Linked DNA regions of Lytechinus pictus. Each later gene encodes a partner of the first gene's protein in a complex. Links are inferred from orthologs where the notes say so. Each region holds a gene or a part of one and is shown on either strand. Other genes may lie near its edges. The genes, in order: WD repeat-containing protein 48-like and ubiquitin carboxyl-terminal hydrolase 12-like.

What was found.
Region 2: WD repeat-containing protein 48-like (region 1) and ubiquitin carboxyl-terminal hydrolase 12-like share a complex: the UniProt entries of both Drosophila melanogaster proteins name them as parts of the usp12-46 deubiquitylase complex. The link is inferred for Lytechinus pictus from reciprocal best matches to the Drosophila melanogaster genes CG9062 and Usp12-46.

Annotation. Positions count from the first base shown.
Region 1 is NC_087245.1:11,492,058-11,508,853, forward strand, and holds the start of WD repeat-containing protein 48-like, read left to right. Parts: upstream 1-10,509; 5' UTR 10,510-10,954; coding exon 10,955-11,002; intron 11,003-16,796. UniProt on the Drosophila melanogaster protein: Regulatory component of the Usp12-46 deubiquitylase complex. activates deubiquitination by increasing the catalytic turnover without increasing the affinity of deubiquitinating enzymes for the substrate.
Region 2 is NW_026974140.1:11,560,039-11,576,798, forward strand, and holds the start of ubiquitin carboxyl-terminal hydrolase 12-like, read left to right. Parts: upstream 1-9,825; 5' UTR 9,826-9,974; coding exon 9,975-10,007; intron 10,008-16,760. UniProt on the Drosophila melanogaster protein: Catalytic component of the Usp12-46 deubiquitylase complex.

The DNA.
Region 1 (16,796 bases):
CAATGGAAACATCATGGGCTGGTTCTCTGTGGATGTGTTCCATCCTGAGTGCTTTCATCTTCCTGTCGTGTCTGGCCACGAAACGATAAATCAATAGATAGTTGATAATAACAAGTGCAAACATGAAAAAGACACCAAAGCCCCCTAGAAGTGCGTAGAAATCTTTGAATGGATCGGTAGAAGAGTCCCATTGGCAAATTTTAAATTGGAAGGAGAACCCAAGCGTTCCAAAACCTGCAAAGTGTGGAATGACGACCCACAATGCGGAGTATATCCAAGAAAAAGTCATCATGAGTTTTAGATTTCGAGGTCGGTAAACTTTCCTGAATTTATAGAGTGGCTTTGTGATGAGAAACCAACGGGTAAATCCAATCATTGCCAACATGATCATGCTAACGGATAAGCAAGTGAGTCTGATGGCGGATATTAAGGTGCAGAACCAGTTTGGGAAAGCGCTGTCTGTCTTATCCAATATAGTTACAACGTGGAAAGGAAGAGAAGTACTTGACAGAAAGTCAGCACATGCGAGATTGAGCACAAACCAGTTGGTTGTCGATCGTAGCTTGCGAGAGAGGATGATAGCAAGTATATTGCAATCGAGTTACCAATCATCCCGACGATACATATCACTATGAAAATAACAGCAAGGATAACTCGTTGAATATAGTCATTAAAAACATATGAACTTCCATGTGTTTCATTCAACATGTTGAATGTTGGTATAAATATCCACGAAATGTTAGATTCCAATGTCTCAATTTTAATGGACTATATACATGCGAAATAAATCCTTTCAATCCGAAAATAAAAATGATTTTACTTGATCCATTTGTTATCTTAACCGATCCTCCTGGAGCTAAAATGAAACTAAAAGTGATCAAACTTCAATTTATGCTAACCAGTTATCAAGTTCTGTGACACGGCAACTTTGCTATAGGTCCCCAAAACATGAAATTTGAGGTCTGTAATAATAATAATATAGGGTATTTATGTTGCGCACATATCCACCTTGTTAGGTGCTCAAGGCGCTCCTGTACATGATTAATTTCCGGATTTTATTTTGCATCTTTGCTTCCTGTTCATTCACAGGAGGATTTATATATAAAAGTTTATTATTTGGGAATAAAATATGATTTGGAGTTGGGATTTGTGGTTTGTGAAATTAACATGCAGAATTGTTCTTTAAATACATTATTTATAACATTTAAGTTTAATATCAATTGCTTTATTAGATCACTGTAATCGGATATACATTCTCAGAGAGTCTCAAAGTCATTAACTATTAAGGCTAAACTTCTAAATGAAATTAAATGAATGGTAATGAATAATGAGTAATGATAATCAAACCTGCACATGAATATAATCAAAAATAAAGTTAGGCCTATAGCTTTCATAAAAATAAATTATTTCATTCCCTTGCCAGTGATGACACCAAGCTACTATACATTCTTGAGTTGGAAGGTTCTCACTTTCCGTTGCATTGTGTGGATTGATCGGATCCAAATTTGACTATTTGTAAATGTAAATGATGTTGGAGCAAAATCACTGATTAAAAAATCGGACCGAATTGCGATTACTTATTCACTGCGATTGTGATATCGAAAAATAGGTGTTATTCATGACTTAATCTCTTTCAAGGGTTATGATATACCATGCTTTATTAGAGGATATATTTTAAAGATGCTTTTCTTTGCTGGGAGGAAGTTCAAGTCAGAAAATTTTATGAACCCGCAAATTCCGTAATATGTAATAGGCCGTGTCCTTAGATCTTTCACAATACCCAATAGAATGGATGAATGAACGATAATATATCATCCAGTGGGGGTGACACCATCGGAAGGAAAAATATTGCCTATTTATTTTGACAGTAAAGACTTGGACCGCAAGTGAAGATTATGTTGTTTGGCATACAAATGCTGTGATGTTGTGGGGAAAATAAATCGAAGGAGTCAAGGAGGTGAGATTAATAATGTTGCACTATTTTGGAAAATTTATGGAGCGAAACAAGTAAGCGAAATATGACTTTTTTAATGATTCATGGTGTAATTTGGCGTATAAGGTTTTATTTGCCAGATTTTAAAGGAAGTTTATTGAAAATCATGATTCTGAAGGACAATGGCTCATCAAATGATATTAATGTTGTGTTAAATCACCCCCCCCCCCCCGTATACGCCAATGTACGAAATTGGAGGGGGGATATATCCCACAACGTTTGGGTTGGAGTAAGATCCAGTACATACAGCTAATATACAGCTCATACAGCTAATGAAAAATTTAGGTCTATTATCATGATTGGGAAATGCGATGTGTGCACTTATTTTTAGATGAATAACGTTATATGAATTTGAATTGAATATGAAAATACCTGAAAAATAAGATATTTTAATGGGGAGATGTAATTAATGAGCTAGTAAGTGACTCTCGCATTATTACCCTGGCAAATTGTGATTTTATGTACACTTTGTTCAGCCCCATCACCCCCTTCGCCATTTTGGCTTGGGCCCCCTAAATCAGTATCCACTATGTAGTTAGTCTGCGGTCCTAGCTGGTAAGCCTCATAGCTTGTATATCACACAACCTTCAAAGATTGAAATCCGAGCAGTTTTTATATATTGATGTGTCCCGTTTCTGCCTTTTAATTTGGTTTTAGTTTCAGTGTGATATAAACAACGTATCAAACATCAATATTTGCTCAGAAAAAGATAGATGATTTGCAGAAATTCAATTAAATTGCAATCTTTAGATGTCAGTTTTGGTGTTTTCATATGATAGGATTAAGGATCACAAAATATAGTTGGCAATTGTCATTGTATTATATAGGTCTCCCAAAATTTTAGCTATAGATCTTCGCGATCGGACTGTAGGCCTATTCATTTAGTGCGATAGTGCACATGATTTTGTTAGGGAGACGCATAAATCCTCTCAATGAATTCATACAAAGAATCTTTGGAATGATCCATTGTATGATCAGTATCAGGCGCGTATCCAGGATATTGCACCCTGGGGGCCCGACCAAATTTTGGCGCCCCTTGAACTTTTCGGAAAATGGCAACCCCCCCCCCCCCCCGCCAGGCAAACATAGGTGACTTAAATCATGGACCCTATGCTTAAATGCATGTTGAATTCTCTTATTTCATAATCACGTGAAAAGGGCAATCGAAGACCACTTTTTTAACGCGTTCATGAAAAAAAATATCCGTGAATATGTTGTAATACCACTTTTTGAAAAGAATAAATGCGACCAGAAATCATAGAATTTTAAGCACTTTGGGTTTCAATTTAGTTTAACTTCTCATCAGAGTGGTAGGCCCTACTAAAACTATGTTTGCAGGGGCTGTAATTTCTTTGCCAGGGGCGGATCCAGCTTTCGCCAATGGGGGGATATTTTCATATATATGTTTCCCTATCGGACATTCTAAGCACTTTTTGCAACCATGGACATGATGGGTATACGTATATTTAAACAATTGATGCGAGCACAAAACGCGAACTGAAATTTTGTAATATTCTGGCCTCAAAGTTTGAAATCTATAAGTACTCGAGGTAATCAAGAACAGGATGGGTATCTATCTTAACATTTTATGTGAGTGCGAAGCGCGAGCTGACAATGTTTTTTAATTTCCTAAGCGCTTTTTGTAACCATGAACATGATGGGTATCTAACAAATAATTTTTTGCGAGCGCAAAGCGCTAGCTTAAAATTTGTGATATTCCGGACCCAAACTAGACATTCTAAGCACATTTTGTAATCATGAAAAGGATGAGTGTTTATTAAAACAATTGTGCTTGCGCGGAGCGCGAGCTGAAAAAAATTGATATTCTGACCTAAAATTCGGACATGATAAGCACTTTGTGTAATCATGATCAGGATGGGCATCTAATTAGTCGATGCGAATTTTTTTTTTATATTCCGACCCAAAACTCGACATTCTATATGCACTTTTTGTGACCATGAACAGAATGAGCATCTATCTAAACAACTGACGCGAGCGCGAATCGCCAGCTGAAATTTTTTTTATGTTCCGACCTAAAATTTTGACATTCGAGTAAGCATTTTCGGTAATCATAAACAGGAAGAGTATCAAACAAAACATTTCATTGAAAATGTTTGATATGTCGATCCAAAGTTGGACTTTTTAAGCACTTTTGGTAACAGGATGGGCATCTAACGAAGCTATTGATGTGACCAACCTTAATCTAAGCGCCTCCCCCATGTGAATTTGGCACCCCAGGACAAACATCAAATTGGCGCTCTTATGTCAAACATCAATTCAGTGCCCCTATGTCTAAAATCTATTCGGCGCCCCCTCCCCTTAGGCTGAACATCAATTTGGCACCCCTATGTTGAACATCAATTCGGCGCCCCTAAGTCGAACATCAGTTCGGCGCCCCATATTTCGAACTTCAATTCGGCGTCCCTCCCCCAGGTTGAACATCAATTCGGTGTCCCTATGTCGAACATCAATTCGGCACCCCCGTAGGTGGAACATCAATCCAGCACCCCTATATTGAACTTCAATTCGGCGCCCCCTAGGTTGAAGATCAATTCGGCACCTCTATGTAGAATTTCAATTCGGCACCCCCCTAGATCGAACAAAAGTTCGGCGCCCCCAATGTCAAACATCGATTTGGCGCCCCCCCCCCTTTGGTCGGCGGAAATCAAGTCGGTGCCCCCCCCCCCCCCTCCTACGTCGAACATCAATTCGGCGACCCCCCCCCTTAATTCCTTCTTCTTTTTCCCCCTTATTTCCTTCCCCCTTTTTTCTATTTCTTCTTTCCCTCCTTTTTTCTCCCCCTTTCTTTTCCTCTCTTTCCTTTCTCTTTTTGGCGACCCCGTTTTCGCCTACCCGGAGTCCCGGGCTCCGAGCCCCCCCCCCCCAGAACACGCGCATTAGTATGATAAAAAAACTTCAGCTCGCGCTTTGTGCTCAATTTATTTATTTAGGTCGTGTGAGATTAGTGTCAGTGGCTTAAACTAGGGCGAAGGGGAAAAAAGGATTACAGCCCCGGAGGGGGGGGGGCACTTATATTGACGAGTGGATACCATGCATGCACGAAAAGCACCCTAAACAAGTATTTTCCATATTCTGAAAATGCACCCCTTAACAAGTATTGGCGTGTGAAACCCTACCCTTAACAAGTATTGGAAACAAAACGATACCCTTGGCAAGCAATTCCCTGAATTGAACCCCTAAACAAGTAGATCTAGATCTACAGCGATATTGTAATCGTTATGTCACGGACGTCGGTTTTACCTTTACCTACATCACTGGGTTTAGCCCCTTTCACAATTGACGTACGACCATTTGCGACCTTTTGGTCGTGCGACAGGCTGCAACAGGCATCAATCGCTAGTCATCTCATAAGATCGCACAGAGGCTTTCACAGTTGCAACAGCTGTCGTACAACAAAAACAACCAGTAAACCCCGTTGCACGAGTAAGTCGCATATGCTCTTATTGTGCTCGTGCGATCACATGCGAGTGTTGCACGAGGGATTGCGAGTGGAACGGTCGCATACATGCGAATGAAATGGTAGTGCAATGTTGTAAGCCGTTGCGATCGGTCTTGCAACAGTCTTATGGCCCATATTATTATCGCAACCAGTCGCAAGACAGGTCTCTGTACATGTAGGTCGCTTGCACATGTGCAAGTGTTGCACGACCTCCAGTCAAGTAAATGCGACTACTTAGTTGTGCCACCTCTCGCACCAAGTCGTACAACGTTGAACAACACTCGCACGATGATCGCCCGACCGATAGTACGACCCCGGGTACGGCCTGATGCGAATGAATCGATCGTATTTGATCGCGTTCGGATTTTGAACATGTTCAAAGTTCAGATGTGACCAGCCACGACCACCTCGAGTTCGTGCGACTGTCTACAACGACTGCGAGTGCTCGCAAGACACCAAGAGATCGATCGTGCAACAACAAGAAAAAACTGTTGCAGGCGGTCGTAAACTGGTCGGACGTCAATTGTGAAAGGGGCTGAACGGTCGCATACATGCGAATGCAACGGTAGTGGAATGTAGTAAGCCGTAATTTCGATCGGTCTTGCAACAGTCTCATATTATCGCACCCAGTCGCAAGACTGGTCTCTGTAGGTCTCCAGCACATGTGCAAGTGTTGTACGACCTCCAGTCGACTAAATGCGACTATACTTAGTTGTGCCACCTCTCGCACCAAGTCGTACAACTTTGAACAACACTCACACGATGATCGCCCGACCGATGGTACGACCTGTTGCGAGTGAATCAATCGTATTTGATCGCGTTTGGATTTTGAACATGTTCAAAGTTCAGATGCGACCAGTCACGATCACCTCCGACCACCTCGAGTTTGTGCGATCGTCTACAACGACTGCGAGTGCTCGCAAGACACCAAGGGATCGATCGTGCAACAACAAGAAAAAACTGTTGCAGGTGGTCGTAAACAGGTCGTACATCAATTGTGAAAGGGGCTTTTAGTACGGCCCCACCTCCCACACCTCGCGCAAATCGTACTCTAAACACGTAGTGTTGACTGTTGCTTTGGGGGCAAAAAGTACATCCTTTATAAAAAAAAATTATTTTTATACCCTTGCAAATTTGACCCTAAACACCTAGCTCTCCTAGCAAAATAGATACCCTTTTAAAATAATGTTAGTGTTTTTGGCACCTTTAATTATATACCTCTCTTTTTTACGTATTTTTGGGGGTCGCGCATGGTACCCACTCGTCAATGTAAGTGCCCCCCCCCCCCCCGGATTACAACTAAACTTTAATTGAATTTGAATTTGAATTTATTAATAAACTTCATTCATATGGCATGAATATTTTGTTTTAAAATATATACAATGATAACATAAACAAAAACATTCATAACTGTATGTCGTATAAATCAGTAATACATCAATACATAGATTTCCAATTATTATAAAGATATACATCTATATACAAAGAGAAATGACGAATTGAAATTTAACATAAAGAAGGTGTAGCATAATGCAATATACATAAGTTATCTAATTATCGAATACAAATCAGGAAGTAAATAAATGTATACCGTTAGAGATATAGCTTTGGTAATGGTGGCTTTGGTGGATTTTAGATATTATGAATGAAATTTAAAAAGAAAAATGTACTTGATGTTAAAACTCGCCCCTCTTATTTATAATCGCTTTGAAGAACTTACAAAAATTATCAATTATGTTTTCATTATCAAGTTTCATTATGAATATAAATTTGTCTTCATCGCTAAGTTTCTTAAACTGTTTATACATTTCAGCTATTTTGTAAAAAAACACCACCCTTTCAGTTGTGTGTACATCACATTCTATTATCGTGTGATACTCATCCCCAACCCTTCCTAAATTACAATTATTGCACGTTCTTAAATGTGAGGGTATTTTATCTGGACGTCTTCCAGTTTCAATGGGTAAATTATGGGAACTTATTCTAAATCGACAGATGTTTTTCCGTATTTTCTGATTTTTAACAGTTAATAGATATTTCTCTGTTTGTATATTCTGTTTAAAAAGTTTATAAGTTCTCAATTTATTTTGTTCATTATCATTTCCTCTATGATTACGTAAATCCAATAAGAACTGGCGATTGAAAATATCTTCAACTTTGTTTTCTATTTCTTCTTCTACTACTCTATCACTATCGACTATCTCATCTAGTTCTAAACAATTCTTATTCACATCCAAATATATGTTAAACCCCTTAAGAAGGTGTTGCAGGTTTCCTAGCCAGCATTCGCAATTATTCTCAATTATTTTTTTGTTTTCTTCAAAAAAGTGATGTAGCAAAGAATCTTCATCTATACTTTCCGCTAATTTGTGTTATCAGTGGATACATTCCAACTTCTGCAAGTATTGCTAAGTGGCTGCTCCTTTTGTTAATTCCTAAGACATTTCTCAACCATTGAAACTGGACACATTGAATTTCATTTCTCAAATACAACTTTGAATTACCATTTTCAAGCTCCGCTAACTTTTTTAAAGTTGACGGTAAAAGCGCCCCATACCTCCGAACCATATAAGAGTATTGGCTTTATTAAAGAGTCAAATATTCGTGACGCGGTTTTTATATTTGGAAGATTGTAACAAAAGGATTGAAATAATTTGAATAATACTCTCTTGGCTTTATCTGCCAGATTAACTCTTGTATCTTTGAATGAACCGCAGTTATTGAAAACCAAACCTAAATATGTTGCATGTTTAACAACTTCTATGTTCTGACCGTTAATTTACCTCGAAAGCCTGATCTTTCAAATTTTTTCCATTCTTGTTACAATTCATTAATTTTTGTTTTGTCAGTATTAACATTCAATAGCCATTTATCACAGTAAATACCAAGTCTATCTAACAATGTTTGCATTCCACACCTTGATTTTGATACCAATACAATGTCATCTGCAACATTAAACAGTTGACTAACTTTCCATTCAACTCAACTGGATCAGTGTCAGTAATTCCTAACTCATGAGGCAAGTCATTTAGATAGAGGTTGAAAAGGGTGGGACTTAATGTACACCCTTGTTTTACACCACAATTGCTTCCAAAACTCTCGGTTATCCCTTCATTCAGCTTTACACTCAACTTTAGTTTTTTATACATATTAGTTACAATCTCATAAAAATTGCCTCCTATACCATATTTCAGCATTTTGAGGAAAGTTTCCACTGACGAGGATCAAGTTGAAAATTTTTGCTAACACTGGTGAAAAATTGTATATACCTGCTTTTAACATTTCATTTAGAATCGCATCACAACCAGGTGCTTTCTTTGGTTTAAGTTTTTTAATACATGCCACGACTTCGGGAGATGATATAGAAAAATCCAACGAACTAAAGGTTCTTTTCAGATGTTCTTCATTTAGTTGACCCTCAATCACCCGTTGATTCTCAGTAAGTGAGTAGTCCTTATTCATTAATTTGCAGAAGTAAGTATACCACTCTATATGTGAAATCTTTCCCGAAATATCATTTCTTTCAGTATGCAGTTCATTCAAATCATTTATTATACTCCACCTTTCTTTTGTGTTAGTGCTTTGCATGTTTTCTAACTTTGTTTACATATTTTCTCTGCTTTCTCTAATATTTGTTTTTAGTTTTTTCTTGAATAATTTCCTACACGTATAATACGTATTTCTCAATTGACAATCGAACGGTTTCTTACATACTTCCCGACACAATTTCTTAACCCTATTCCTAAGTGCTTCTGTTTCTCTATCAATTTGAAACTGTTTACATTTTCTTCGTAAATTCTGTTTCTTCCTTGGTATTTTCCTTGGTATTTGAGCTGAATCAGCCACGTGTAAAATACAGTCAGTCAGCTCGTTCACCGCAGTATCTATTCCGTTTTCATCTAACATGTAATTCTTTTCATACAAAGAATTAATCATGTCCTTGTTTTGGGGCTCTTTCAGGGCCCTTTCAAACTGTTCTCTGCTAAACTGACCCTGCCATTTAAAAATATCTATAGGGGTTGCTTTAACTCTTTAACATTGCTTTCACATTGATCTTTATGTACATCTCTGTAATGATTTGCCCTAATCTTTACCTCTATAGGGCAGTGGTCTGAATGAGTCGTTAAATGTAATACATGGAAGAATGTGATTAGACCATATAAATCACTATCTGTCAGTGTATAGTCAATAACGCTCGGTGTAGCACCATTAGCACCATAACATGTAAAATTTCCATTCGTGTCTCCAAACGTACGACCATTTAGAATTCGGAGATCACACATTTTACATAACTCCAGAATATATTTTCCCCTATTGTTTGGGGGTCTACAATCCTGGTTTCTTCTATCCATCAGATTAAAATCATTATCTATTCTATATTGTGGTATTAATCGACCTATGTTGTCTTTTTCTGGTGTATTCTGATCAGACACATTGCTGGTGTAACCATTAAAATCTCCCATCAGTAGGCATTTGCCTTGCCTCTTGTGTATTGCAGTATCTTGCTTGATTTTTTTCTAACACATCAATTTCCGAGGAATAAGTCGAATTTTCTGGGTTAATGTAAAGAAAACAAATAATTGTTAATAACATGGTAGGTCCATGCTCATACGACTTACTTGAAATAAAAAAAAGTTACTAGAAAACATAAACGGCAGCTAATTCTTCTAATTCTTCTATTTTTCTAATTGTAATGGTACGTGATGAAATAAATGAAACGGTCACCAACAGTAGCGTACGCAGGGATGGTTAGAGGGGTTCAACCCCCTAATTGTTTTTATACCCACCCACCCCCCCCCTTAAAAATTTTGTGAAGACTTTTTTGGGGGGCATGTCAATTTTTCAGAGGTACAGACTGACTTAAATTTGTGGTGAAAACCTTTTTATTTATTTATTATTTTTTATTTTTTAGTTGTCGATCAACATTTCAGTCAGCTTGCTCCTGTGACATTTAATCCGGTCTCAATATTTTAGAGGGCATATGGTTATTTACTTAGGATTTGATTAGAGTTCGCCTTATTATTGTAATAAGTTTTTATTTGCTCATAATAATATTGATATAGTTTGGAGGCTGGGTCTCAGTATGTTTGCTTATAACGTCCACTATCGGGAGCCATCGTCGCCGGAGCAAATGTCATGGTTCCAAAATATCCTGATTTAGGACGGATAACTTTGCTAACATAGCCACTGATGCTGTCTCCCCCAAAGCCCCCCCCCCCCCCTCCCCCGCTCTATTATTATTACTAACGTTAGCACAAAAACCTAATCTGAGTTTGCAAAAATTACCCAGATCACATCATTGATAGGTGGAAGTCTAACTTTATTTTTATTTTGGTGCTGTGCTGATGTCAACAACCCGCCTAACACAAGCACCAAGCTCAACACTGCACCTACCTGAGGTGTCCGTGTAGAGTTGTAGCGTACACGAACAATACACTGCACCTGAATCAGGCGTTTGGTGTAGAATATTATGACGTCATTCTTGTTGGGGCTCTCAAAGAATGGCGGTCCACCACAGGCAGCCGAGCAATTCTAGGCGAAAAGTTCAGGTATATTATAAGAATGTGAATTGGTGTATATGACGTAAAATATCTATAAGACCCAAGGAATAATTAGTCCATGTTTTTTCTCACTGATAGTGTTAACAGTTTTTAGGTAGAATCTAGTGAAATTCCCATATTTTCAAGTGGTCTCTCATAAACTTTCTTCTCAGTCCCACAAATGATTGTACACGTTGGGTAAAGACAAAGTTGGGGCCAAGTATAGTCACGTATTGTATTACCGGACACTATTGTGATTCCGGACGCGCATATAAATGGGTTCGAAAACAATTTCGTACCGTAAGACTTCCGCAATTCATTTTCACAGGTCATAGAACAAGATTGCAAAAACAAGGCGAAAAAATCAAATTTCTACCTTATTTATCTCTAAAATGACAGAAAATGCGTAAGTTAAATTAACCCAGAGAGCTCCAGCCCGCGTAGCGGGCTGGAGCCCAGACGCTCAGTGTGCAAACGGGCATTCAGGTGAGAGTACCGTGAAGTTTGGTCAAAATAATTTTGATAATACATAATTAAAACAGAAATTAAGCACTTGCCACGATTGTATGGATGATAGTCTAACGAGTGGCAGTTTCCTGACATCGAGGCACAGACTGGAACCTCAAAAAACGATCAGTTCTGTCGCGGTAGCTCTCCTCTTTCAGAATTCAACACAAAATGGCCGATCGAGACCGAGGCTAGTATAGCACTAGCGCATATAGACTTTGTCAAATTCGCGCATGCGCCCTACACCCTCTCGAACGGCCATTTTGCTATGAATTTTGAAAGAAGGAGAGCCACCGCGACAGAACTGATCGTTTTTTGAGGTTCCAGTCTGTGCCTCGATGTCAGGAAACTGCCACTCGTTAGACTATCATCCATACAATCGTGGTAAGTGCTTAATTTCTGTTTTAATTATGTATTATCAAAATTATTTTGACCAAACTTCACGGTACTCTCACCTGAATGCCCGTTTGCACACTGAGCGTCTGGGCTCCAGCCCGCTACGCGGGCTGGAGCTCTCTGGGTTAAAGTTAAATTAAACATCATATAGGCCCTAACATAGTTTTGCATTAACAATTGAATGAATTGATATATTTTCTAACGGAAATATGGGCCTGATTTGCCGAATTTCAATCTCGTCGGCTCCTTCGATCGAATGATGAGGTGAGGTGTATTGTGGGTGACCCTCGACGGCTAGTTCTCAAGGTACCGTGCGCGAGGTTTACCGTGAGTAGAGCCGTCGACGATCGGCTGCGCATCCATAGAACTTGATGAGCGTCACGATACGAACGAGCACTGGAAAGTGCCATGAAACATGCAGCTAACCAAAAAATAAAAAATAAATTAAGTTATCAAACACGAATTTATTACCAACATCTGCTCAGATTCGATATAAAAAAAGCAAACAAAAAGTAAGAATTTATTCATGATATGATATAAGAAGAAAGAAATCACAGAAATTTACATCCATACATCATTATAATCAAGGATATCTTTACCCGTCTGGCGCGCGTCCGGAATCATGATGTAATTTGTCGCGCACGAAAATAATTGTTTTTCGTGGAGGGGTATGCGGCAAGTGCGATGCAAAGAAAATGGTTGGTAAATATAAAATAATTTTATCATATTAATAATTTTCATAATATTTGGAATAGCAAGTGCAAATTTTTCTTGATTGTATTTCTTCTAGTTGTCATTTTTAAAGCACTGAAATAAAGGTGTCCGGCAATAGGATACACTACCATACTAACTTTGTTAGAATATTACTTAGGCAAGCAAATAATTTAGATCTAGACCAAAAGCTTCAGTCTCTGTATTTGGTTGTTCCTCTTAACTGCATTGGCTTCTCTGCGTCCTGTCGCTTTGGCAAAAAACAAAGAAAACAAGAAGGCGACTTAAAAACGCGGCAGCCAATTTTTCCCCGGCCCCGTCTTTTCATAAGAATAAAATATTAATAATTAATATTTTACTCGATTTTTTTATGAATTCTTGAATCTTGTTTAAAAATGAAATCAATATTGTGGAAATGAAATTGTATCCCATTAACATGATTTAGGGCAAGATCTTAGAAGGAAAGTAGAAATCTTAGGGGCGAAAATTTCATTTTTTTTCGCGGTACACTCACATGCATGGGACGCAATCCCTGGCTCCGTGGAGAGTAAGCACACGTTTCTCTCTAGGCTACTAGTAACCCAGGGAGCTCCGCAGGATCTCACCGTGCATTTACTCATACTCACGGGACTAGGGTAGATTGTTACAATAACTTGGAAAGAAAAATGTGAAAACAGAAATTATGCACTTACCACGATTACCGTAAGTAACGGTGTATTAACCGCACCCCCCATTTTCGGATGGAAAAAAAAAAAAAATCATTAAAAAAAAAATTGAATCAAACTTACTTTCTATCTCTAATATACGTATTTAAGAAAGAGTCAAGAACCAAAAAATATCGAAGAATTACTGGTAAAAAATGATGGGAAATCAGCGCTTCGTCACTTATCTGCAAGTTGCCGATATTATTGGCCACTTCCACACTCCGAGTCACCTCACACACACACATGTGGAGGTGTTCATTGCAAGTACCGATACCAGCATCAACATGGGGGCTCACCCATACGAGAAGATCGTTCATATCATATTTCCTGCATCACAGCCCCACTTTTGCTTTCAGAATTCTGTCTAGCATTCAATGTCTTGACATGAATTTTAGACAAGGGAATACGGGAAGGTTCAAGATACGAGAAATTTGCGATTTTGTTCAGGTGTTTTTCTTGTCTGCTTTGAACCACTACCAGTAGTTCTCAGTACGTGTGTGGCGGTATCTTACAGACAGCAAAATAGGAAAAAAAATGCTAGTACCGGTATACCGTATTTTCAATGGGAGCTCTGGGTGGGAATAAAGTGAATAATAATTAAAAATAAAAAGTCGGAAGGAGTGAAGATGGGGATTGAAGATTGATTTTGAGATGATGGATGATAGAGAGAAATGAAGGAAAGGCAAATGAAAGAAATTAATTGTCAAATAATACCAATAATTTGTCAAACAAAATAACTTCCACGGAAAGGTAAAGCGCCAGCTTACGTTGACGTTGCGATAAACATTACACATGCATGTCTTATTCGGCTAGCTGCACCGTGCTGTGCGATCGATTGGCGTCTGAACTTTGCCGCGATGACTAAAAAATGACAACAAAGACAGAGTCACACCATTAAAAAAAGTCAGTTTCATGAAGGTAGGTGCATTTGTTACCGTGATATAACTTTGAGGGACATTTACGGCAGATACCGGTAGTCATAGTTGCTTCCCTTTTATACCCGCGGCTCATGCCCCTCTAAACGGGATTGCCCCAAGCGGGTACGCTCGGCCACCCGACGCGAGTTGAAAACTGGTAGTGGTATCGGGCTGAGATTGGCTTGGCTCAGACCTGTCACCGTGTATAAACCGCACCCCCGACTTTTGATTCTGTCCCGCCGAGAAAAAGGTGCGGTTAATACACCGTTACTTACGGTATATGGATGAAGGTCTATCATGTGGTAGCATCCTGACATCGAGGCACAGACTGGAACCTCAAAAAAAAAAGAAGTTCTGTCGCGATACCTCTCCTTCTTTCAAAATTCAAAACAAAATGGCCGATCGAGACCGAGGCTATAGCACTAGCGCATATAGACTTGGTCAAATTCGCACATGCGCCCTACACCCTTGGTACCGGTCTCGATCGGCCATTTTGCTATGAATTCTGAAAGAAGAAGAGCTACCGCGACAGAACTTTTCGTTTTTTTGTGGTTCCAGTCTGCCTCGATGTCAGGATACTGCCACACGATGACCTCCATCCATATAATCGTGGTAAGTGCATAATTTATGTTTTCACAATTGTCTTTCCAAGTTATTGTGACCACAATCTACCCTAGTCCTCCGTTTTTTTCTTACTTTCTTTTTTTTTCTTTCTCTCCTTTTTTCCTTTAAACATTCATTCATCATCCCTTTTCTTTTTCTTTTTTATCTATTTCAAAGAATGAAGGAACCCTTTTTTTCTTTTTATTATTTCTTTCATCCTTTTATTCTAACTTTCTTTCTTTTCACTGTTTTTCTTTTTTCCTTCATTTTCTTTACTTCATTTTTCCCCTTAATTTTTTCTTTCTTTCTTCTCGATTCATCTCTTTTCTTTGTCTCCTTCATTCTTTATTTCACCCATTTGTTCACCCTCCCTCCCTTCCTTTCCTTTTTTCTTTTTTTCCTTCCTTTATATTTTTCTTTCTTCATTTCTTTCTTTCTTTTATAATTATTTTTCAGTGATTCCCTTTTTTATTTTGTGCCACGGTCACAAAAGTACATGAGAATATATGAGAGAGGAAATCATTCAAATAGCACATCAACACACTAATTTCGGTCATGGCCGGCAAGATAAAATCACATGACAAAATACAATTTTACAAATACAAGGTACATCAGTTCGTGTTAGAAAGAGGAAAAAGGCAATGGTACATGTCCATAGAACAGCACTTCTTTCCTTTAAATGGTAAAATCTTGTTATGAAATATTTTTTGGGGGGCAAGTGAAATATATATTCAGCAAGTATTTTCCAACTATTTAGAGATAAAAAAGGTTATGTAGCACCCTGTACAAGATTAAGTACATTTGACATCTAAAAAAAAGGATACTGAAAGAAATGGCCTTCGATGCCCTTCTTTGAAAAAGATTTTGGCCTTGGTGCCCTTTGTAGTGGCCTTAGTGCCCTAAAAAATACAAGGTATTTCAAGGCCAAACTGGCCTTGCCCTAAAAATGACGTAATTTAAGGCCTGCAATGCGGTTTTTCAGTTTTTCTTTTGACTTTTGGATTGGCCATTTTGAAGTCAATCCTAAATTTCCGAGAAAGTTTGCGAACTAGGAACAAAACCACAGGCACAGATTTCTTCATTTTCAATTCATTTTTCTGCGACCTCGCTTCTTAAATCTGAGCTAAGCCACAGTGTGCTCTGGAAATATGGTACAGATTCCGCATTTTTAATGGGAAATTTTGACTTTTTAAAGTTTTTTTTTTTAAGGTTCAAATCGGGACTTGCATGTGGTGAGTGATAATGCCTGTGTATCATGTGTTTGGTGTGTGTTGTGGTGATGACTACTGGCTTGTGAATTAGTTTGCCACGTTGCGAGTCAAATGGAGTTACCATGTGAAATTCCGGGTGCCTTACTTTAACATGCCTGGAATTCGACATGTGAACACAACAGAGCCCTCTACTAAATAAAGAAAAAATAATCACTATAATTCACAAAAGGATAAAGAGGTGGGAGAAAGGGCTTTATATTGTTCAGTGAGTTTCATAGAATTCTTTAAACCCTTTTAACAATTTCCTAATTTCTATTAATCTCATGATGCTGTTGCATGTGTTGTGCCTGTGATATTCATATGCACAGCACAAGCAATGCACCCATGGGTGTGGCAGGACGGAAGAATTTTGTATTTCCCCCTCCTTGATTGTATCCCTGTTCAGTGAATATGGCGGCATCAAATACGGCTGGATTTCAGACGGAATTTGATATCGGATTTAGCCCCAAAATCCTACAAAATGTGTTAAGAATTAGTTCAAATCTGTTGATAATTCAAAGAGTTTGAAAGCTCATTTCAAGTTTGGCTGCATTTCTTGATCAATTTAGGGGTCTAATTTTTAAAAGTTTACCAATTCTTTTATCGTTGTCGAAACTTAAATTGTTAAAGTTTCTGTGTGTGTTTGTGAAGTATCGCTGAGGAGCACTACTGAAGGCAGAATGAAACCAAAAGATAGGCTTGCTGCTTGCATAAT
Region 2 (16,760 bases), on another chromosome or scaffold:
TTTTTGAACAATTTTCAATCAAATCTTCTAAATCGCGCAATATTCTATCTTTTGACAGGGATTATAATAATTGATTAATGAAATGACCTTGTCATAAGTGAAAATGTCAATTCTTTGATATTCCTTGATTCGAGGGAAAATAACTTCTTTGAAAGTAACTGTTTTATGCACATATATTGCAATTCCTCCTCTTCCTCCTTGGCCTCTATTTTTTATTACTGGGATGAAATCTGGAATTGCTAATATATATTGAAATCAGTGAACCATGTTTCTTGTAAACATATCAAGGCAGGGAGTGAGTTTAATTCTACACTTTCTATTAGCTCTTTGTAAAAGTCTGGACCGTGAGCATTCATGCTTTGGGCATTCCATTGTAAAATATTGAAAGTCCGAGCGTTGATAGTCTTTGAGCTGTCTTTATTACTGAAGACGATCGTGGATCATCTCTGGAGACACCTCGTTGATGTCTAAGCATCGCTTGGCTGCATCAACCACTAATCTAATTCTGTTTGAATGTGCAGTAAGAAAGGATCACCAGTCGTTCTTAAAGTCGCTCTTAACTTACAAACAGCTTTATGAAACACCCACCAGGGGCCCGTTGCAGAAAGAATTGCAATCAATCGAAACTCAAAAAATCATGCGCAACTTGATTTTCAACCAATCAACAGCGCGCATTTGGGACTTGCGATTGATTTTTTGGCTTGCGTTTAAACGCAACTCTTTCTGCAACGGGCCCCAGGGGCCCATTTCATAAAGCTGTTCGTAAGTTACGAATGACTTTACGCACGACTGGGGATCCTTTCTTGTGCTAGATGATATCCCTGTGTAACCGATTTCGCACCAAAGAACAGATTTCAGTCGTGCGTAAAGTTGTGTGTAACTTTACGAACAGCTTTATGAAACACCACCCAGGACTGTTGTTATTTGGTACAGTACGACTACCAAACACATAACACACTACATCCCCAGGGGTCTGTTGCAGAAAGAGTTACGTTTAAACGCAAGTCAAAAAATCAATCGCAAGTCCAAAATGCGCGCTGTTGATTGGTTGAAAATCAAGTTGCGCCTGATTTTTTGACTTTCGATTGATTGCGACTCTTTCTGCAACGGGCCCCAGAACACGCATACACACTAGTCTGCAGGCACAGACCCTGATTGGAACTTTGATCAATAAGTGTGCCTCCACGCAAAGACTAGCACATACAAAGCTTGCTGTTCCAATACGACCTTCAGTACACAAGGCATGAGTATAGGCTGCACATTCAGACCCTTAACTCGAGTGAAGGGTGTGCCCAGCAGACTACATACACACACCCCCTGCATAGTCACATGAAACAACAGTCCAGTGAATCTATAGGCAATTCCCGTCAGATTCAAGGGAACTGATATTCCGCCCACTGAGCCCAGTCTCCCTCGCTCTCGATTCCGATTGGTCGACTTACCGTGTCAATCAGGGGCCCGTTGCAGAAAGAGTTGTAATCGATCGCAACTCTAAAAATCATGCGCAACGTGATTTTCAACCAATCAACAGCGCGCATTTGGGACTTGGGATTGATTTTTTGACTTGCCTTAAAACGCAACTCTCTCTGCAACGGACCCCAGAACGGAGGACCGGCCCGGCCGCCTCCATTGGCGATCGAGTGGATACCATGCGCGACCATGGGTCTCGAAAAGCACACTAAACACGTATTTTCCATATTCTGAAAATGCACCCATTAACAAGTATTGGCGTGAACCCCTACCCTTAACAAGTATTGGAAACAAAACGATACTCTTGGCAAGTATTCCCTGAAATGAACCCCTAAACAAATACAGCGATATTTTATTGTTACGTCACGGGTCCGTCGGTCGTCGGTTTTACCTTTACACATCGTAGTGTTGGGGCAAAAAGGACATCTTTATAAAACATTTTAGTTTGTTTTATCATCCCCGCAATTTGACCCTAAACACGTAGCTTTCCTAGCGAAATAGATACCCTTTTTCATTATTTTTGTGTTTTTGACACCCTTATCACGTTACGTACGTAACGTGCCCTGACTTGAAAAAGACATCCCATTTACGTGTTTTTTTGGTCGCGCATGGTATCATTCGTCAATGTAAGTGGCCCCCGCGGGTTCCAATTAGAGGCGCGATAGCTCAATGAGTTTATTAATAATGATTTTACCAAAGAAGAAGTTGTAAAGATGATTGGTAAATTGCGAAATAATAAAGCATGTGGTATAGATAATATTTTAAATGAATACTTGAAAAACTGTCCAAATGTAATGATATCACTTATTGTGAAACTATTTAACATTACTTTGTCATCTGGTTTAGTTCCTTCGTTATGGAGTATATATGTATAATAAAGCCTTTGTATAAAAACAAGGGCTCGATCAATGACCCAGACAATTATAGGGGTATTACACTCTTAAGTTGTTTGGGAAAGTTATTTACATCTTGCATAAACACTAGACTTACTGAATTTTTTAATTGTGCCGGGATTATTGGTGAAGAACAAGCTGGATTTAGAGGAAGCTATAGCACAATGGATCATATTTTCACTTTACATGCTGGTTTAATTGATTTATATTTACACCGGAGTAAGATAATTTATTGTGCTTTTATAGACTATCGGAAAGCTTTTGATTTAGTTGATAGGTCATCCTTGTGGTATAAACTCATTTCTAATGGTATCAATGGTAACATCATTAGGGTTATATATAATATGTATCTAAATGCAAAATCGTGTATAAAACTTGGTTACAGCTTGTCCAATTCTTTTGCTTGTAATATAGGCACTGGCGTAAATCCGTGTTGATGGGTGGGGGGGATGACTGAAATATTTTGGCATTTTTTTGCAATCATGTTTTTAGATATGCAAGGAATTGTCATTGATATGTCCACAGTGGCGTACCGTGGGTCACGGCATTGGGGGGCCGGGCACCAGCAAACTTTTTGAATGACTGAGTGAGTGACCTAATAGAGAAATTTTAAGGACAATGTAATTAAACGGATATGTATCTCACTCATCAAATAATGCGAGCGCGAAGCGCGAGCTGAAATTTTTTATATTCACACCTAAAAAGGGACATTATAATCAAATTTGTGTAATCATGATAGGCACCTGTCTCGCTTAAAGGACAAGTCCACCCCAATAAAAAGTTGGTTTGAATAAAAGGAGAAAAATCCAACAAACACGACACTGAAAATTTCATAAAAATCGGTTGTAAAATAAGAAAGTTATGACATTTTAAAGTTTTGCTTAATTTCACAAAACAGGTATATGCACATCCGGGTCGGTATGCAAATGAGCAGACAGATGACGTCACCCACTCACTATTTCTTTTGTATTTTGTTATATGAAATATGAAAAATTCGAATTTTCTCCTCATTGTCATGTGGAACAAATTTTTATTCCTCCCTGAACATGTGCAATTACCATTATTTTAACAGTTTGTGGTTGAATCAAGTTGGTCCCAATTGTCAAATCTGTAAAAATTGAAATATTGTATAATTCAAACAATCAAAAACAAAAGAAATAGTGAGTGAGTGACATCATCGACTCTCTCATTTGCATATAAATGAGTTGTGCATATAACTGTTTTGTGAAAAATAAGCAAAACTTAAAAATGTCATAACTTTCTTATTTTACATCCGATTTTGATCAAATTTTCAGTGTTATGTTCGTTTGATTTTTATCTATCCATTCAAATCAACAATTTTCTGGGGTGGACTTGACCTTTAACAATGCGAGCGCGAAGCGCGAGCTGAAAACTTAGATAATTCAGACCTGAAGTGGGGCATTCTAAGTTTTCTTTGTAGGAATTAACCAGGACCATACGTATTTCATTAACCAAATGATGCGAGCGCGAAGCGCGAGCTGAAAATTTTTGATATTCAGATCAGAAGAAGGGAAATTTTAAGGACTGATTTTAGGAATTCATGAAGAGCAGACATATCTCACCAATCCATGAAAAATGCGAACGTAATCACGGACAGGAAATGTTTCATATATACGAAGACCTTAACATGGGGCAATCACTTTTGAGTCATGAAAAAAAAGCACATGTCACTACATAAAACAATGATAACTCAAGTGCTAGGAAATATTTGGTTTATATTGACTTGAAAACGGGATGTTTTGGTACAACAGGATTATATATCTCGTCAAACAGACAATGCGAGCACCAGGAACAATTGAGACGTAGGCCCTGGGCAAATTATGTTTCATAAAGTTATGATAAAAATGTTTCTTATGTAATGTAACTTAACATAATTATAATATGATATAACATTATAATGAATAATATTTTCTTCTTTCCCACTACGTTTCTCTTCCTTTCTCCCTCTTTTCTCCTTTTCCCCCTTTCCCCGTTTTTTTTTTTGGTCAGCCGATGGGGGGGATGTGCCCCCCATGTCCCCCGTAGTTACGCCACTGTATGTCCATATGGCAAATACCCCTCCAATATTATTATCTTTTTTACCCCATGATGGTTTAATGGTTTATTAGAGATTACATTTTAAGTTTTTTGACATTCCATCTTAATCCCTTCCCAAAGACCCCAACATTGATGAATTGGAAGTATTTCGTTTGGAAATGGTGAAATGGCTCTTTATTTGCATTTTATGATTCAATAATATTATTTTATTTGTTAAGCGGTATTTTTGGAAGAATTTTCACAAATAAAACGATTATCTCTTGTGATTTTTTTTTTCATTTCTTTCGTAAAAAGTGGGGGGGATGTTTGTACAGGCCATCCCCCCCTCCTCGAAAAGTGGGGGGGATATATCCCCCCCATCCCCCCCGGGATTTACGCCAGTGAATATAGGAGTAAGGCAGGGAGAAAATTTGTCCCCTTTACTGTTTGCAATGTATTTGAATGATTTTGAATATTTTGTTAGTAGGCGTTATAAAGGTCTTGATATGTGTGCTTCAGAGATTAGGAAAAATCTCAGTAATGATGATGTTGAAGTATTTTACGTCTTTATGTGTTGCTGTATGCGGACGATACGATTGTTATGGCAGAGTCTATGGCGCGCCATCTGTTTCATAAAGGCGATAAACTCAGTTTATCGCCGAAAAACCTAGTTTATCAATCGAAAAACCTAGTTTTTCAATTGAAAAACTAAGTTTTTCGCCGATAAACTTAGTTTTTCGCCGATAAACTAAGTTTATCACTTGAAAAACTAAGTTTATCAAGAAAAACTAAGTTTATCGCCGAAAAACTTAGTTTTTCAATTGAAAAACTAGGTTTTTTTGATAAACCTAGTTTATCAATTGAAAAACTAAGTTTATCGGCGAAAAACTAAGTTTTTCACCGATAAACTAAGTTTTTCAATGAAAAACTAAGTTTTTCAATCGAAAAACTAAGTTTTTCGGCGATAAACTTAGTTTTTCTTGATAATCTTAGTTTTTCAAGTGATAAACTTAGTTTATCGGCGAAAAACTTAGTTTTTCAATTGAAAAACTAGGTTTTTCGATTGATAAACTAGGTTTTTCGGCGATAAACTGAGTTTATCGCCTTTATGAAACAAATGGCGCGCCATAGGAGTCTGCTGATGAACTGCAAAATGCTTTATCAGCTGTACACCAGTACTGTGATCTTTGGAAATTGTCTGTTAACACAAGCAAAACAAAGATTGTTATATTTTCTCGTGGAAAAGTGCGTAAATACCCCAAATTTACTTTTGGTGATAGTACCCTCAATGTTGTTGATGATTATATACACCTCGGAACGACTTTCAATTATAATGGTTCTTTAATAAAGCTATCACTAAGCAGGTTAATCAGGCGAGGAGAGCTATGTTTGCTTTAATTTGCAAAGCAAAACAATTGTGCTTACCTGTGGATATTCAGTATGAGCTTTTTGATCAGCTTGTTGTTCCGATTTTGTTGTATGGTAGTGAGGTGTGGGGCTTCCAGAAACTCGATTGTATTGAAATATTTCATAGGAAATTTCTTAAAAGTTTGCTTAAACTAAATCGTGGCACTGCCAAATGCATGGTGTATATATATTATGGTGAACTTGGTAGAAGTGCCCTCGCAAGTAGAATAGAGATGCGTATAATGGTCAATTTTTGGGCAAGGATTAGTCAAGGTAACAAATCTAAACTCTCTTACACCGTCTACAGTTTGTTACGAAAACTTCATGTAAATTCTGATTTTCATTCAAGATGGATCTTAAAAATTAAAAGTATTTTGGACAATTGTGGAATGTCAAGCTTGTGGGAAGAAGACCATCTTTTAAATCTGAATCGGGTTAAGTTAGCTATGGAACGTAGATTACGTGATATTGATTATCAAAACTGGAATGAAGAAGTTAATAGAAATCGGTTGTGTTTCAACTATAGAATTTTTAAAAAAGAAACAGTTTTAGAAAAATATTTGTTGAAGTTGGATGTAGGAGATAGAATATCTTTATGTAAATTTCGATGTGGTAACCATAATCTGCCAATTGCTAAATGTCGTTATTCATCTGATCAACCTCTTGAAATATGTCCATTGTGTAACCTTGAAGTTCAGGGTGATGAATTTCATTATGTTTTAGTATGTCCGTTTTTCAATGATGAGCGTAAAAAGTATGTTAAGACTTATTATTACCGTAGACCTAATGTCATTAAGTTTAATTAGCTATTCAATGTAAATCTATTAAGCACTTAAAGAATCTATCAAAATTTTGTAAAGTCATCATGTCGAAGTTCAAATAATTTTGTTGTCTTTCCTTTTTTTCATGCACTTCCAGTTGTTGAATTGGTGTTTTTAAAATTAATGTACATGTTCGTAGTTAGTTCAGACTATTTTTATGCCATGTTATTAGTCCATATATTTTATTTTCGATTCTTGCCTTTTACCTGTTTGTTGTAAGAGTCTGATATTTTAAGCTTTTGTTATCTTTTAATTTTTTTTAATGTATATCTATATTTGTTGTTACACTATTGTATTTCTTCCAGCATGCCCCTGAAGGGGCCGTATAAGAAATAAAAATCACTGTATCACTGTATCAGTCTGTAGAGCGCGGGGGTTTCGGATTCCGGTGACCCGGGTTCGATTCCCAAGTGGTGCGCTAGTGCCCTTTGGTAAGGCATTTATCCTCATTACCAGGTCCCTCGGAGAGGACCTTAAGCCGTTGGTCCCCTGGTTGCTTGCTCACAGGCATTCGTGCTTTCTTAGCAGTCAGGTAAAAAACCTCGGTATAACATAACATACAACATAACATAACTGATTTGATACTGAATGGGATACTCATCGATCACCATGATTTGGGATAAACTATTATTTTTCATTTTTCTTTTAGGGATAAATCATTTCTTTTCGTTGTTTAAGGGCCGCTGAACGGTTTTGAGAGGTTGTGGTTTCGAAAGTAAAAGTGAGGGGCTAAAGCAAAAATAAACCCCACTCGATTGATCAACGTACAAATTACAATATAAATCAAATAAAATCTGAGCAGCATTTAAGTATACATAAGTTTGAAGAGACAGATACATAAGACAAATAAAATATCAAATCTCCATTTTTTTTTTAATTTACAGGTAATCTACCATTTTTTCGCCAAAAATATTCAATATCCTTAGATGCCTTTGATACGAGCTTTGAATTTTACAATATTACGGGTTTTGTCATTAAATTTACAAAAGTGAACATATTATTTGAAAGCAAGGAAAATGAATGCTAAAAAGTTATCACCTTAAATACGAAATATCTTTACAAAGGAGGAAATAATAATAGGGCCTATTCGAATGTTGGTTGTTTTTTTTTAATTGAAAGAAAGAAAAAATGTGACCGGGGCTAGTAAAAGCAAAAAAAAAAATAATAATAATAAACCGCACTCATTTTCATATCTTTATGCATGTTAGTGAAAAGGGGTCAAGAGCGAGGGCCGGGATTAAAATTCCCCTATAGCTAGCCCCCGCCCCCTGTTCCGCAACCCCTTGCTCCGTATGGGCCAGCTGATTTACCGTCACAAATCAAAACTAATGCTTTGATGGAAATTTTCATCAAATGTTCTCTCATCGTGTCAAGGTAAAAAGGTCATAAGGGCCTATACGTTCATGGTCGACTGTGATTTCAGATTCAGATTTATCATATTGATCTTACCGTCCTTATTTAAAACATAGTAATTTCCCCTCTGCTGCATGTGCGTATATGCAATAATGATTCATAAATGATATAAAATAAACACTAAAGACATGCAAATTGGGCGCGCTTGGAAAGAAATGGAAAATAGCAAGTGCACCATAAAAAGGAATAGGCAAAAAAAAAAAGACCCATGAAAGACACAGAGCAAAATCCCGGAGCAAAATGCGAGTGAAATGAAATATGTCTGAAAGTTAACTGCAAAATAGAGAATGGTAAAAGATGCATAGGCGAGAAGTCGAATGGGGAGATAAATAGAAAGTGGGCACGGTGAAGATAGGGAAAGTGATAGGAATTAAAATAGAGGGAATTAGGAAAGAGAGATTGAGGCTATGAGAATTATGCTCATAGGCTACAACCACCATTGGCTTAAAGGTGGAGGGAGGGCTATTTGGTCCCCTAAAAGTTCCATGACCAAGGGAAAAAATGAAAAATTGTGAAACATGGTATTGTTTGGTGACCGTCAAAATATCACAAAATTAGATTTTCTTAAACAGGCCAAAATTTCTAGAAATTATCCCACGTAGCCATTTCGTGCTCTCTCTCGATCCCTCAAAATTTTGGCTCATAGACCAAAAGATATTATGTATAGGCCACTAGACCATAGAGATGAAAACTACAGTGCGTATCAAAAAAAAGTTTACACTTTGAAAAAATCCTGTAAAATTATACATTTGTAATATCCTGAAGATTTTTCCACATTTTAACATTGGTACAGATCCATTTAAGCAAATGACGATATAACTGTCGAAAAATATTTCCGCTTGAGTGAGCACCACTTACTTTTGAAAATGTAGTGAAAAATGATTTGCGCAGAACTTTGAAATAGTTATGCAAATAAAAGTAGATCTTAATCATGAAGAAAACGTGGAATTTAGCTGGTAAAATTGATTTGAAGATATCTTTTACCTTTTTAAACTTGTTTCCTTGCCCAAAACACTTCGAAGAGTGCATTGGCCCACTCCATTCCCCCACACACCGAGGCCATCGAGACGAATTTTGCTTTGCACTGAGCTATGATTTACATGAAATGGCTTAGGCTTGATTTTAATTTTGTTAATCATTGTCAAGCTTGGGAAAAGTGTGGAAAAACAAGTATTAAATGAAAAATGAAATGTAAACCCACTTTAAATGATAAAAACTCAATGTAAAAATGCTGGAGATGTCTGATATAAACTTTTGTTCAGGTTCAGTTATGTCCTCCGATCCAGCTGGCACAAAAAGGGTAAAGGTTGTGCTTACTAAATGATGAAATGTCAATTTGGGTGGCAAAATTGTTACAAAATGCTTGAATGTATCTGTTTTTTTTTCAATTGACTAAAAGTGCAAGGGAAAAGTGTGAGAAATGTTATACATCTCTATGGGTGTAGGTCAAGTGCCATTTGCTGAAGTAAGCAAACAGATTAAGAAGTAATACGTACCGTGAAAATATAGAGATATATTCGTGTACATTATCAAAATAACTAGTACAATTCTTTGGCAATTTATAGACACTCTACTTTAGTATATGAAAATAATATATTTTGTACCAGAAGAAACTTCTTGGGTACCAGTACTCAACTTTAGTGCTAGTATCTATCAAACTCACATAGAGATCGCTATGATACAGTATAATATCACTAATTTCCCTTGATCAAATTATGGTCACTAGATTGGCAACGTTCGTACATGATCTGCCTGCCGTCTTAATCAAAGATGTATGCTGATTTTCCTTTTCCATAATTTGTCAACACCATTGCAATTCTAAGTTGAACAACCCGTGACAAATTGTTATCGATACTTCGAATAATGCTTAGAAAGGATTTGAGACCTCCGTAAATCCACATGCTCCATAGAGAGACAAATTTTCAACACGTACATGTATTCGTGTTTCTCTCTAGTTTCAAGAATGGTGAGTATTTTATGACTTTGTTCACCAAAATAGTCGTGATAGTGAGTGTGCCGGGCGGTCCGATCCGAGTCATCATTTTCAGTCACCAACGATCCCGCCTCGCTCGGCACAATCAATGACAATGACAATGTGAGTGTGCATGTGTGTATGTCGCAGGGGCGGGGGGCCGGGGCCTGTTTCATGACGAGATGGGGCCTGCCTGTACTGTAGGCTGTTGCATGAAAGGGTCTTTCGTTGAACCATTCTACGTAAGAATGAGATATCGCTTACCTCGAGCGGTGTTCGTGCAGGCTCCACTTCCGCTACACTACGTCTACGTTCGGCATTATCGTGATCCATTCCAAGTCCCCGGTGACTCGGATCCACGGACAATTTTTCACAACGTAAAACATGTCCTACCTTACCTCAGGCGATGTTCGTGCAGGCTCCACTCCACTTCACTACCGCTACACTACGCTCCACCTACCCGAACATCGGGACAGTGAACTAGATCGGATATTCCGAGTCATAAAAGGTCATGAAGGTGGGATGGCAATCATGGTTATTGTAAAATTTAAAGAAAAAAAATATAAAGACGGATATGAATGACTTAATATCTTACTTTACACCCCTATTTCACTCCGTGTCCATCCTCCGGTTATCCTCAAAATTGGTGATTTTGGGCCAGTATCTTTTTCCTCACACGTATTATTCACGGCCGATTTCAAAACATCGCATGCGATCGCGATCAATCAGCGACCGATCGCGTTCATATCCCTCTTTATATTTTTTTTCTTTAATTTTTACGATAACCATGATTGCCATCCCACCTTTACTAAAAATACAAAACGGCAATTAACCCGTTGATAATCATCTACCCCTCATTTCCCTCCTCTTCAAAACCACTCTGCCACTTTTAGACAGTTTCCTAGAGATGATAAATGAATATTTTCGATAATAAGAATCCTTAAAATCAATGAAAATCACATTAAAAACACTATTTAACTGTCTAATTACTCCTCGTGATCCGAGTCCCCTTCCCGTGTTAAGATTGTCTAATTTCTCATAGGAGGGGACTTGGATAACGAGGAGTACTATTACTCGTTATCCGAGTCCCCTCCTATGGGAAATTGGCAGTCTCAACACGGGAAGGGGACTCGGATCACGAGAAGTAATTAGACAGTTTAAATAGTGTTTTTAATGTGATTGATTTTGTTTTATTTAGTGTTTTTGATCATTGTTTCATCAACTTGGAAGAATATACAGCCACAGGAGAGAAAAGAAAAAGACTATTATTGTCGTTTGAAAAAGTGTCCGAGTCATTTGTTATTGTGTCAATGGGAAAACGTGTGGTGGAAGGAAGTCCCCGTTCAGTGAGAAGCTTCGCACCGTTTCGCATCTCGAACAATAGATTTCTTTTGAAAATCTTCCAACCGTGGATTCCATTGAAAGTTTGCTGATATTTGAGGTGTGTCTCAAGTTTGTCCCCAGTGACTTGGATGAAGATAAGGCCCTACGTTCCACCTACCCTACCTCAGGCGATGTTCGTGCAGGCTCCACTCCACTTCACTACCGCTACACACCCAAGGGTTCATTACATGCCGCCGCGCACAGAAAAATAAAGCCATAGAAGTCGTGTGTTGTGGACACCACTGAAGTGGGATCCCAGCACGCGTGACCCACTAGTTAGAAATCCTCTGCCAAACGCGGTTCATGGTGCGAGGTTAGTATACTAACACTAACCTCGCAATACGTGTGAGTGACCGCTACACTACGCTCCACCTACCCGAACATCGGGACAGTGAACTAGATCGGATATTCCGAGTCATAAAAGGTGGGATGGCAATCATGGTTATCGTAAAAATTAAAGAAAAAATATATAACGAGGGATATGAATGACTTAATATCTTACTCTACACCCGTATTTCACTCCGTGTCCATTCTCCGGTTATCCTCAAAATTGGTGATTTTGGGCCAGTATCTTTTTCCTCACACGTATTATTCACGGCCGATTTCGAAACGCGTATCGAGTGGACCTTCCAAATATACATGTAATAGCAACACTGATGTGTGTTGCTGCCCTCTACGTTCGTTGCATACAATGTTTTGAAATCGGCAGTGAATAATACGTGTGAGGAATTTGATACTGGCCCAAAATCACCAATTTTGAGGATAACCGGAGGATGGAAACATTGTGAAATACGGGTGTAGAGTAAGATATTAAGTCATTCATCTTTTTTGTTATATTTTTTTTGTTTAATTTTTACGATTATCATGATTGCCATCCCACCTTTGTGACTCGGTATATCCGTATTGGTTCACGGGCTTGATGTTCGGGTAGGTGGAGCATAGTATAGCGGTAGTGAAGTGGAGTGGAGCCTGCACGAACATCGCTCGAGGTAGATATCGCTCAACTGTTTCACAAAGCCGATTTAAGTGATACGTAGAATGGTCCTTGCAGTGTTGAAATTACTTTTTATTTTTACTTTAGCCCAGGGAGCCATTTTGAAAATTAAAGCCTTGACTTGGGCTTAAGGAGAGCCATTTTCAGTTTTCGAGACCCATTAAAAAAAAAATGATTCAGCGCATGGTTTCGCATCGCAGTTTTTCCTGCTTAACAAATTTATTTAATGTTAAACATTGTTTATTTAATTGCTATTTACTTTTTCTTCATTGCCATTGTTATTAATTGTTGAAATATTTTCTTTATTATTGTTCATTTGCATGTAGATCTTATGTTTATTGTTTGTATCTCAATTCTCATTACTTCTTGTATACCCAGTTGTTGTGTGTCCGGACAGGTTGTGTGTCCGGATGATCAATTTTAGAAAGTCATTTGGAAAAATTTACAAGCGAAGTTTCATCAATTTTTAGTACAAAATGTTAGGAAATATTATAGAGAACAAAATAGAAGATGATTACAACAATTGAATTCGTATTTTTAGTGTAATCCAAAGAAAAAAAAGAAGGCTTCAAAAATATAAAGTGTCCGGACACCCGACCCCCCCATCCTATATTAAATTAAATGGATGTTCTACTTGGTACTTGGTATGATGTTCCTCCGAAATACTCCAAGAAGAGTTTTAACTGGAGGTGTGCCGGAGAGTGTGATCTAGTTTTGTAAATTATTGGGTCTTTAGTAAGGGCATTTTGAAAGTTGTCGTTGATGGCTGGTCTACAGTTTCTGGTAGAAGGCCATTCCACTGGTTGATAGTTCAGATGAAGAAGGAATTGGCAAATGAGTCTGAGTTTGTGTACTGCTGTTGGAATTATCGAGTGTGTCCTCTTCTGCGTCTTGATGGCTTGGGCTTGATGAAGTTTTCATGATCTATGTCCAGTTGGCCATTCAGGATTTTGTAGAGGCAAGTTAGGCGATGACACTTCCTTCTTTCATGGAGTGGGGCCCACTCTAAGTCCTTAAGAATGGCACTGATGCTAGTGTCACGTCCGTACGTGTTAAAGACAAATCTAGCCGCTCTGTTTTGGACTCTCTCTATACTATCTATATTCTTCTTTGTGTAGGGGTCCCATGATGCGATGGCGTACTCTAGGTGGGGTCTAATGAGGGAAGTGTATAGCTTTTCTTTGATGGAGGGGGCACAATGGTAGAAATTTCTCTTAATGAAGTTCAGCACCCTTGTTGCTTTTGTTGTAGCATATTGTGTTTGTTTGTTCCAGCGAAGGTCGCGCTGGAGCTGGATTCCCAAGTACTGGACGTTCTCTTTTTCTTCCAGTCTAATTCCCAACATTGTGTACTTGGTAGGGTCAGGCTTCCTCTTCCGAGTGATCCTCATGGTATTGCATTTAGATGGATTAAACCTCATCCCCCAAGCTTGGGACCAGTCAACCATCTTATTCAAGTCTATTTGTAATTGCTGCTCATCGCCAGGCGACTTGATGGTATTATACACAAGGCAGTCATCTGCAAATAGACGAGTTGTACTGGAGACGTTTTCATGGATATCGTTGATAAACATCAAGAAAAGATGGGGGCCGATAACGGTCCCTTGCAGGGCTCCGCTCAGGACAGGTGTCCATTCAGAAGGGATACCATTGATGATCACCCTCTGAAAGCGATTCATTAAGAAGGAGGCTATCCAGTCCTTGGATATATTCCTGATTCCATAATATTTTAACTTGAGAAGAAGTCAATGGTGTGGCATTACATCAACGGCTTTTGAGAAGTCAAGTACTCCCACATCGATAGATTGTTTATTGTCAATGCTCTGAAGCAAGTCGTATGTGGTCAGGATAGGATAAGTTGTGTTTCACACGATCTACCTTTGCGGAATGCATGTTGATTGTCTGCCATTATGTTGAACTTACTCAAATGACTCATCACCTGACTATCTACTATGTGTTCGAGAAGTTTGCAGCATGTGCATGTCAAGGACACAGGTCTATAGTTAGCGGGATCAGTGGTAGCTCCTTTCTTGAAGATGGGGCATATATTTGCTCTTCTCCAATCAAGAGGCAGAGTACCAGTATCCAAGGATTGTTGAAAGATGAATGTCAATATAGGTGCCAGCTCGTGGGCTGCTAATTTTAACTTCAATTTTTAACTTCTTTTTTTAATATACAATTTTGTCCATCAAATTGAAAAGGATTAAGTTGATCAAATTTGAACAGAATTTGTACTCAGAGGAATCCTTTTCATAAATATATACTTTTTGACTAAAACTCACTTGAAAATTATTTAATGAAATATTGAATGCATCACAGCCTGACAGCTAACGTCACCATGTCAACTATTTCTCAAGCTAGGCTACGCTAGCGCAGCTCAGCCACTGAACATAGTACAGCTCTCAGTCAATCATCACCTCAACACACAGCTCACAGTCAATCATCACCACAACACACAGGCAGGTATGAAACTGCATTAGTGCCAATACATGTATAGGCTACACTCCGGCACTGACCGTTCCTCTCCAAAAATCCCCACAGAAAATCCTAATTTCGGTCTGAAAATTGCGGGATCTGCGCCAAATTTCCAGAGCACCAAGTGGCTTAGTTCAGATTTGAGAAGTGGAGTCCCCAAAAATTACTCTAAAATAAAAAAAATACCTCTAAAATAAAAAAAATACTGTGATTTTCTTCAGAGCTCACGATCTTATTTTCTTGCTTCTTCTTCTTCTTATGTTGGTTTGAGTGGCGATTAGTCATATTTGACTATTGTCGCCATTGACTCTATCTATAAAATCTCACTTCTCACATAATGATATTATTACCAATATGATGTATGCATATATGAAATGTTTTTCTTGTGCATCCTTCTATAAATATGAAAAAGATAATTATAGTATATACAAAAGTTTGTCGTAACTCTTGTCAAAATGGCATATAAACAAATCTTCACCAAAAACAAGCCGCTATCTTCAGCCCAGTTCCAACTCTAGAGTTGCGCTTGCCCTGCCCTTTCAAAGATGCAATCATACTGGTCAGCACGGTTCATTGCAAATTTAGGATGGTATCTTATAAAATTAATCCAATAGAAAAGGAAATTTTTGGCTATCAAAGTTTCGGCGAGACCTGGTGCCGCGCAACGTTTTGAAAAATAGTACAAGGGATATCGAGAGTTTGAAACTCTATACAAATTTTTCTGAAGCGCCGCGCCTGTGATTCTAAAAATCTACTCAGTTACACATCAGAATGCGACGATGCATGAAATTAAAAACTGCGGCTGCGCTGGCCTGGCTGTCTGACTGCTAATATGCAGTCGTAAATGGGAGACTTGATGGGCGTGGACTGGAGCAATTTTCATGTTGGGAGTCGCTCGGTACTTGGCAGTTTTAGGCAGTTGCGAGAGCGATTCCAAAGCACGCGAGGGCAGAATCGCTCGTCGCTCCTGTGTATTTTCAACCCTGGGTCCTTGGAAAGACACCTCCAGACATGTCCTATGTAGGCATGATCTTCTTTGCACACCGCCCGCCACCGTCGGCATTGAGAAAAAATGTGTTTACGGCAAGCCACACTGACATATCATCTTGAAATATTTTTTTTGGTCATTCGATTCCACTCTGATGCATTTTATCTGGGATGCGCCAAGTTATTGTTTATATGGGGGCTGTCATAAATTTCAGGTCGGACTCCACCCATGGGTGCATTATTGCCGCCGTGTACAGGATAATTGAAGGCACGGCGCATGCAAAGTTGCAACAAACTCCCGCAAATTTAATAGGAGGATTTACAGAATCAAGTCCTACGAAACTTACCAAATGATGTGAAGTAAATTCCCCCTAATATGATGAATATCCCTCAAATAGCGTCATTTAATCTGCTACAATGAGCTGCATTTTTGGTGAAAAGCGGCAGCAGAGCACTGTACGACCATCGCCCCTCTGCGTGAGGGTGCCCGCGTCGCCGGGCTAGCTGCATGCATACGCACTCACACGCAGGCAACCCGTTCCAAGGACCCCCGTTTTCACAAACATTTGTAGTTCCGAAGCCCGTTTCCGAGGACCCTCCTTTTTACAATAAGCCCGCTCCAAGGCCCCCATTTTTTTTGTCTCGCCCGCGGCACATACATGTACCTTCCACTTTTTGGTCGAGTACCCCCCCCCCCCCCCCCCCCGGGATAGACATGTTCGTAGTTCAAGGTTATAGTATACTAACCTCGCAATACGTGTGAGTGGTCGGACTGTTGCACGGCAAGATGACCCAAAACGGATGTCATTTTAACTTCTCCTGGGTATAGGCCCAAATATTTTTTTTTTTTTTTCACATTTTCTCCCTCTTTTTTGTTTTCCCCAACTCTTTTCCAGTTTTTTTTCCAAC